2 linked regions of the Mus musculus genome follow. The protein of the gene in region 1 interacts with the protein of each later gene in a pairwise test. Links are inferred from orthologs where the notes say so. Each region holds a gene or a part of one and is shown on either strand. Other genes may lie near its edges. The genes, in order: Tfap2a and Gsto2.

Region 1 (3,813 bases):
CAGATTCTTAGATTCCATGGCAATATCTCCCTCGATGCACTATGCAAATAAATTATGCCTCATTAAAACATAAGTGGCTAGCTTTAAATCTGCCTGGTAATAAATCTCCATCTTCTTATTTTTCTATTAATGTGAGATATAACAAGACACAAAGGAGAGCTATTCCCTGATTCCCAACCTTAAATGAACTGAGTATCAGAAGAAGTTGGGAATCTAGGAAGCAGGATGGTGAGTGAGCAGATTCTGGTGACAGCTTTTGGGTAGCTGGCCAGGGTGGCTTTTTGTCTTAAGGACTTTGAAGGGTGGGTGTGTGTGTACTAAAGGGGAGGCGGGGGGGGGGGGGAGCCGGAGTAAAAAACTCTTTTACAATTTGTCTGTTTCTTCTTCTCTTTCTGTATCAAACAATCCAGATTCTAGAATTGCTCACTTTCTGCCCCTCCTGGAGAGAAGACACACAATGGAAACAAGAGGTAGGAAGTATATGGCTGGAAACCAACAACCCACAAGGGCTTTTAACCCTGAGCTTTTGGGACAGTCTTAAAGCAGGATGCAGGTCAGAGATTCCCAAATTCATTCAGGAAGTAATGGTCACGCATTTCTCAAATGCAGATGTCAGAATAACTTAAGTGATTTACTGCTGAGTTCTTTCCAGGAGACAGGAACTTGGGGAATGTGTAGTTCTTAAATTTGTTCACTGTTTAGGTCAGGTTTGAGCTGAGGGTAGGGTGACTCTGCCAGACAGAGGAAGAAGAACATATAGGCACGAGTCTATACAAATAGGCTTTGGATCTTTTGTTTTATTTTGTTTTGTTTCTTGTTTTTTTCCTTGGCATCCCAAATTCTTTTCAATTCCCAGTTACATTCCATGGAAAAGTGAAGCCACCCAAAGGACACAAAACACACTCAAACATCTGGCTACTAAATATTATCCACCCCACCCCACCCCCAAGTTGACAGTTCCCTTCCAGATAGCAAGCAGATCTGTTTACCTTCCACTAGTGACGTGAGGAGGGTAACGTTGGCAGCTTTACGTCTCCCTGCTGGCAGATTCAATCCTATCTTGTCCAGTTTTTCTCTTAAAGATCTCCCTCCATTCTTAGACTTCGCTCTGTTTCAGAAACATGGGAGGCAGGGGTGTTAAAAAGATTGATTTTTCTCTTGTCACATCAGAGTCATTCTGAACACTTTCTAAAATGTGTTCTTAAAAACTGAGGGTCATGGTTCCAAGGCAGGAAAAGAGAGAGCAAGAAGGAACTATATAGAAAGATCATGGAAGATGAAAGGCATAGTTGTCATTGCAACTATTGTGGCAGGTTGGGAACTTTCCATTTTCACACACACACACACACACACACACACACACAGTTCTGATTGCAAGAGTTGGAGGTATTCCTGAGTTCCACTGATAACTGTGTTGCTTTCCCTGTTGCTATAATCCCAGCAAAGCCCAGTGGGGTCTTTAAATTGTCTTCACAAGATCTGCTGTTAGGTTGTTCCCAGTGACCAAAGTTATCATCGCGCTCTCATTTCATGTCCTGGCTTTGATCCCAATGGGAAATGCACCTTGCCAAGTGTTTACATGCCATGTCAGGAGCATAACTGGAAATGTCAAGAGGCTGATGGCTGATATCAGCCTTCAAAATTTTTCCCTGATTTCAGAAACAATGGAGTCACTTCTAAATAGATGTCTAAATAGACTCCCATAATCAGAAAGTGGTTAAGATAAATTGTTTAAATAAAACAGCAAATTAATTAATTTCAGATTTTATTCCCTACTCAAGTGGGTCTTTAATTGTGTGGATTAGATTATACTCCCATAGGTGAGCAGTCTCCGATATTGGGGATGGGGGGAGGGGAGGAAAAAGCAGAGGGCAGAGAAAGATCTGTGACAGTAAAAGATAACTAAGGAAAGCCGCTGGTATTAACTCTGCAAAAACCCTCTTAGAGTATGTAGGTGGGCCATACCCACCAAGGCCCAACTGAGAGTTATTAATATACAGGAATAAAGTTAGACAACGAATTACAGGTCTTTTGTAGAGAGGAGAGTAAGAGACATACTCTTTGGCCAAATTTAATACTAGGCCTACAACTCACACCATTGGATAGATCCCTAAGAACACACCTGGCTCTGAAACTTTTCTCTCTTTAGACTCTACCTCCCTGGCCCTTGTGAAAAACAGGACTCACTCACTTCAGAGAGGTGAGACTCCTGTGTTAATGGATGCGACTACATATAATGAACAGAAACCTGTCACACATCACAGCAAATCAGAACGTCAAAAGAACACCCCCCCCCCCCCCCCCCCCGTACAGAGACTGGAGTGGAGGTAGAGGTTCCTTATGGCAGGAAGTGCCAGCAACCAGGGATGGGAGGCACGCAGCAAGCAGAAGTCACTCTCTTTCTTTACTTGAAAACCTGTCTGTTAAATCTCCACTCAAGACCCTACAGTGTAGTAAGGCAAAGCAAGGAGCCCGGAAGCTTTTCTGAGCTTGTAACCTGTGCGCAACCAGGGAAAAGGCAGCAGCACGGCGCCCCACGGCTGCCAAGGCTGGGACTGAGCCCCAGACGTAGAAAACTGCGCCTGCGTGCTGCAGAAAGCGGAGTTCCCGAGTGCGCAGGCGCGTTGCCTCACACCCCACCCCCGCCTTCAGCCACGCCCACAAAGCGCCACTCTTTTCTCTCCGCCCCTTTCACGTCGCGCGTGCAGTACAGCTACCGGCCCAGCGCAGGCGCACTGGGGCCGGGTTCCCGGGGTGGAGCGGGGCGGGGCGGGGCCGGGTGGGGCGGGGCGGGGCCGGTCCGAGCCTCACCTCCGCAGTACTCCGCCCAGGAGCGACGCGTTAAGACACTCGGGCGGTGAGAGGCGCCGCTGTACTTCCGCCACCGTGACCTTGTACTTCGAGGTGGAGCTGAGGAGCGACAGGCGACCCGGAACTGAACAGAAGACTTCGTTGGGGTTTACCACGCCACCGAAGAGGTTGTCCTTGTTAATAGGGATGGCGGAGACAGCATTGCTGTTGGACTTGGACAGGGACACGGGGCCTGCGAAGACAGATGCGGGCGCGTGTGGGGGGCGGACCGACCGAGCGCTGCTCAGCTCAGGAATCCCGAGGCGGCATCCTGCCCTGACCCTTGCAGCAAGCTGTCTAGAGATGGCTGATGCTGTCGCGACCCCCTAGGCTCTCAAAGGGCTCCGAAGTGATGCAGGAGCTTGGGTTTAGGGAGGCAACGAATGGGTTTTATGTGTAAACCCGAGACAGGGTTGGTGTAGTGGGGGTTTTGCTGGCGAAAGGCTCAGTGCCAAAAGAAATTGCTGTTAAAACCAGCAGACAGTTTCGATTGCTGCAGCAGCCAGTAAATGAACATTTCAGTAAGCTAGCAAGTGGTGGATTCTGTTATCACACACTACACGTCCGTCCTTTCATCAATAGACCCTTATGTTCCATTTAAAAGACACTCGGGCTTTGGAGATCATTCCAAGCCCGTGAACAGGACTCAAGAATAGGCCTACAGTTGAACATTAGGAATGCATCCTTTTGTTGAGCAAATACTAAATGAACCCTGTCTGTCTAAGCCCCTTCAAAGGGATGGGGGTTAGGATATATAATCAGTTAAAACCATAAGCTCTTCATTGTTGGATCTACCATTGTTAGAAAACAAATTCAAGACCATCAGAACAAGGGGTTCATTTCTTAACACATGAAATTCAGATGCACCTACAACCGTTTAAGTTCAATGCGTTTGTATCTTAAAATTCCACACAGAGACATATAATAATATGCACAGTCTCATCATAGCACCTCTCATGTTTT
Region 2 (4,478 bases), on another chromosome or scaffold:
CAATTTTTAAGAGTTTAGGGGGATAGACTGCAGTGGTGGGTGAGACTCTGGGATGCCGGTCTAGCTCCTGTGGCTCACAGCTCTCATCTTGTCTTCCCACAGGTGTCTAGCCCACACCCCCAAGCTCAAGCTCTGGATGGCGGCCATGCAGCAAGACCCTGTGGCATCCTCTCACAAAATTGATGCCAAGACCTACCGCGAGTACTTAAATCTCTACCTACAGGACAGCCCCGAGGCCTGTGATTATGGGCTCTGAAGGGCAAGAGCCCTCAGCAAATGCTGTTTCCCCTCACTGATTGAATATCATGCTTATTTTGTCCAGTATTCTCACTGGCTCCTTTCTCATAATTTGACCTTCTGGCCTAAGCGGTGCCCCCCAGGGCCCCACTCCTGTATTTCTATTTCAGAACAATCTGATCTAATGGTCCTAACAGTCTTCACTGCCATCCCCAAGGCCATCACCTCTGGTTTGATACAGACATCTAGATTTGGATATCAAGAAAAATGTCAAGTTTTTGATTACTCATGTCTGAAAACTGTGATTTCCCCATACTTTCCATCATTAAATCTCTTATTCCTCTTGTGAGCATCGAAAACTGAGTCCAAACCACCTCAGGTCAACATGACTGGGGTAGCCTCTTGCTTGAGCTCTCAGTTCCTAATTTCTTAAAAAATGTGTGTGTGTGTGTGTGTGTGTGTGCGTGCACGGGATCCCTTGGAGCTGGTGATACCGGCAGAGGCTGTGGGGTGATAGGAAACGAATCTCCCTTCTGGAAGAGCAGCAAACAACCACCAAACGATCTCACTAGCTCCTACTTCTAGCCCTTTCAAATCCTTCCTTCCAAACAAGGCAGATATAGTTCTGTCTTCTATAGGTGTGCCACATGCAATACCGTTAAAATCACACTAGCCAGTTCAGTATATAAGACTGAATAAGTAATGGATGAAATCTCCCAATGGGAAAGGTTAATCTTAATACTTCTATCACTTCCATAAGACAGGTAGTCTGGGAACCTCACTCCATTCTAGGGATGGTGAGTCTGGTCCAGATGTTAAGTGAGGTCTTAAGATGTTGGCAGAAGGATCTGGAGGACAATGAATGCCCTTAAGAATGGCAACCCACCGACCGCCAGGTTTTCTGTAGTTGTTTTCTGGCTTGCCTGCGACAACCACGGGGGTGATTCGTTAAGGGCGCCAAAACTGGCAAAGCTCAGCGCCGCATTTAGGGTTTAGCTTCACGGTGATGGGGGGCCCGCACCCTGGGGAGGCAGGGATTGGCTGACTTCACAAACGGGACAACTAGCGTCCTACTCCGAGCGGAGCCATCTGTGCCGCCGGCCCCCAGCCCCCGGGCAGGCCCTGGCGGTTCCTCGCGGATTCCCAGTAGGATGTGAGACCAGCGGCTGAGAGGAACCGCCTGCTACCGACTTCCTCTTTAGGTAGCCATAGATTTCCGGCCTGACCCTCGTTTCTCGAGCAAGCTGCTATAACGCGGTCGCCTATTGGCTCGCTCTTCCAGACGAGCCAGGTATTGGCTGGAGCGCAGGGCTCGGCGGCCAATTGCGGGGTAGCACCGTGAGAAGGGGCGGGCCCGCCTCCGCGTCGGCCGCCGGGCGTCCCAACTCCGGGTTGGAGCCATAGCCGCCCGAAGGTTGCTCTGAGATGCTTTTTCTGCCACCGCCACTGGGGGGTTCGGCCTCACCTGCGCTGTGTCGGAAGGGAAAAGGATTTTGAGGTCAATTCTGAACTTTGGGGGACTTGTAAAATCTGGGCTTTTCAGAATAGGATCGCCAACTTTTAATTTTGCAGTTACATTTTAAAAGAAAACCCAAATGTTTAACCATAGCTAATGTTTCTTTCTTTTTCTTTTTATAAAAAATTTCACTAAAAATGTGTAAGGGAGCCTAGAATATAGCAATAGGGTAAAGAAATCGTAAGGAAGAAAGAATAGTCAATAGTTTTAGATTATTGAGTTTTCTTTAAGCCAGAAACCTGTCATTGAAATTAATTTTCCAGTTTGGACGAAGACAGGCACGCAGAGTTCCACAGATCTGGAGTTTCGTACCTCAGTTCGGCTTAACTAGTTGATGACACAGACAGGCAGGAGAATTTCGTTTCTGAGACTGCCTGTCTTTTGAAGGCTACGAAAATCGTCCCTGCTACGTTCAAATAATAGTAATCACAATAACAGCTAATGTTAAGTCCTTGCTAGATGACAGACACATGCTAAGTATTAGATGCTTGCCATACTGATCCTAATAACACTTCCCTAAACCACATGGTACTCTTACCTCCGCATTACAGATTAGAACGCCAGTGTGTTAGAAAATCAGGGTTGTTGGAGCTTTTGATTATTAGCCCAAAGTAACCCAGCTACTAAAAGGTGGAGCGATTCAAATGTAGCCTATGTTTGTTGTAAAAAAGACTGCTCTTTAGATAAGTTTATATATCTATAAAGTTCCTTTTCCTAAGAGCTCTTACATTTAGAGATTAAGCCAAGACAGAATAATATCATCTGTTATCAATGGATTCCACATCATTCCAATTTAATTAGACTAGAAAAGAAAAATTACATCCGAACTGAGTATATTCAGACTTCTCATGTCAGTATCCCCTAAGCAATGCAGTGTAACAACGTTTACCTTGTGTTGGCTATTCTAAGTCATCTAGAGGTGGTTTGATGTGTCTAGGAGTGTGTGGGTAGGTGAGTTGCAAATGCTTCGCCATTTTATATAAAGTTGTTGAGCATCCGTGGAACTTGATATCCAAAAAAGGTCCTGGCAATAATTCTGGGCACGTCCCTGTCCTATCCCTATCATGGTTTGGTTTCGGCAGGCGATGTTGCTGCTTTTGCACGCGTTTACAAACTTTGATGTCAGACTCTTGAAATTTTGCTTTTTGACTATTCAAATATTATTATCAGGGTGTATAAATGTGTCACACATGTCATTAAAGACACAGGGATAAGAAAACAAGCACTTTAAAAGAAGGTCTCCTCTGACCCAGTTTTCCTGACCTGGATGGGAAGGTCCTCCTGTGGTCACTTCAGTCACCTCATTTCATATGTCCCAACGTTAACGCCATTGGGACATGAGCTTCCCTATGGTCCTTGCTCCTTGCAAGCCCTGAATAAAGGCAGCTGTGAGAGTAGAACCCTTTCCCTCATCTGGCCCAAGGAGTTCAGTGAACAATAGTGGACACCCAGTAATGTGATCTTTCATGTCAAGTGGGCATTCAAAGAGACAAATACAATCATAATCTAGCATCTGCTAATATTAGACTTGTGACCAAAAGGTTTTTTTAAGCCGAACAAACAAACAAACAAACAAACAAACAAACAACTCAAGCTGGCATAAAAGTGCACACATTTAATTCCAGCACTTGGGAGGCAGAGGCAGAGGCAGGTGGGTCTCTAAGTTTGAGGCCAGCCTGGTCTACAGAGTAAGTTCCAGGACAGCCAGAATTACATTAAAAAAAAAAAAAAAAGACAAAGGAAGAAAGAAAGGCCCCCCTTTCCTTAAAACAAACTGAAATCGAGTGAAGAAATTATTTCCATTCTGTAAATACATACATCATTAATCACCATGACCAGAGATTCCTCTATTTTTAGAAAAGCAGCTCAGGGACTGGGGAGATGACTTAGTGGGTAAAGTGCTTGTTGAACAAACACAAGAACCTGACTTCCAACCCCAGACGCACAAACAAGACCTGGTGTGGTGGCCCGGGTTTGTAATCCCAGTGCCATGGAGGAAGCTGAGGTGGGTTTCTGGGGCTTTGGGGCCAGCTCAACCGAATCAGCAAGTTCCAGGTAAGAAGGTGAGACCCCCATCTCAAAAGACCTCTGGCCTCTGCCATCCAAGCTCACACCTTGAGTGTCTGTGTGTGTGTGTCTGTGTGTGTGTGTGTACCTTCACACACAGAGAAACAGTGGATATGATTATATTTCAGATGTCTGAAAAATTATTTCTAATAGATTTCCATGACCTTATTAAAATTGTTTTGTGCTTGAGTTGGTCAATATAACAGAGATGCAAACACGGGATAGCATAGATGGAACATTTGCAAAAAAAAAAAAACCACTTAGGAGTTACCTACTGAAATTTTAAGAGGAAGCAGAGAACAAGCTTAAAGGTCATGATTAAAATCCTTCTGGGAAAACTGTTGTGATCTTTCGAGAGATTAAAAAAAATCACATTACTGAAATGTAGCCTGAAGCATTCAGCACACTCAGCCAGCATTAAACTGTTAACGGGGGAAATAGTGTGGTGAGTTAGATTCTAATTCTCATATGCCCGGCAAGCTGAATTGCAATGTGTGTCTCTTCATGGGTGCAGAATGGGAAGGCATCATGCTATAAAAATGCCTTCTTACTCATTAGTATTTCTCTTTAATTTTGAGGGTCACTGAGATAGAACTCCGCACAATTTCACTCCATAGTCAAAACCATCATATACACACTGGTGGTTGTCATCTTAAAC

Evidence for each region.
Region 2: the proteins of Tfap2a (region 1) and Gsto2 interact in binary tests that used the Homo sapiens proteins (3 or more experiments, as listed by UniProt). The two-hybrid records come from large-scale screens. The link is inferred for Mus musculus from reciprocal best matches to the Homo sapiens genes TFAP2A and GSTO2.

Annotation. Positions count from the first base shown.
Region 1 is NC_000079.6:40,720,280-40,724,092, forward strand, and holds part of Tfap2a (transcription factor AP-2-alpha), read right to left. Parts: intron 3,044-3,813; coding exon 2,812-3,043; intron 1,109-2,811; coding exon 990-1,108; intron 1-989.
Region 2 is NC_000085.6:47,864,195-47,868,672, forward strand, and holds the start of Gsto2 (glutathione S-transferase omega-2), read left to right. Parts: upstream 1-1,599; 5' UTR 1,600-1,735; intron 1,736-4,478. Other genes in the region: Gsto1 (glutathione S-transferase omega-1), read left to right, coding at 103-256. UniProt on the Homo sapiens protein: Exhibits glutathione-dependent thiol transferase activity. Has high dehydroascorbate reductase activity and may contribute to the recycling of ascorbic acid. Participates in the biotransformation of inorganic arsenic and reduces monomethylarsonic acid (MMA).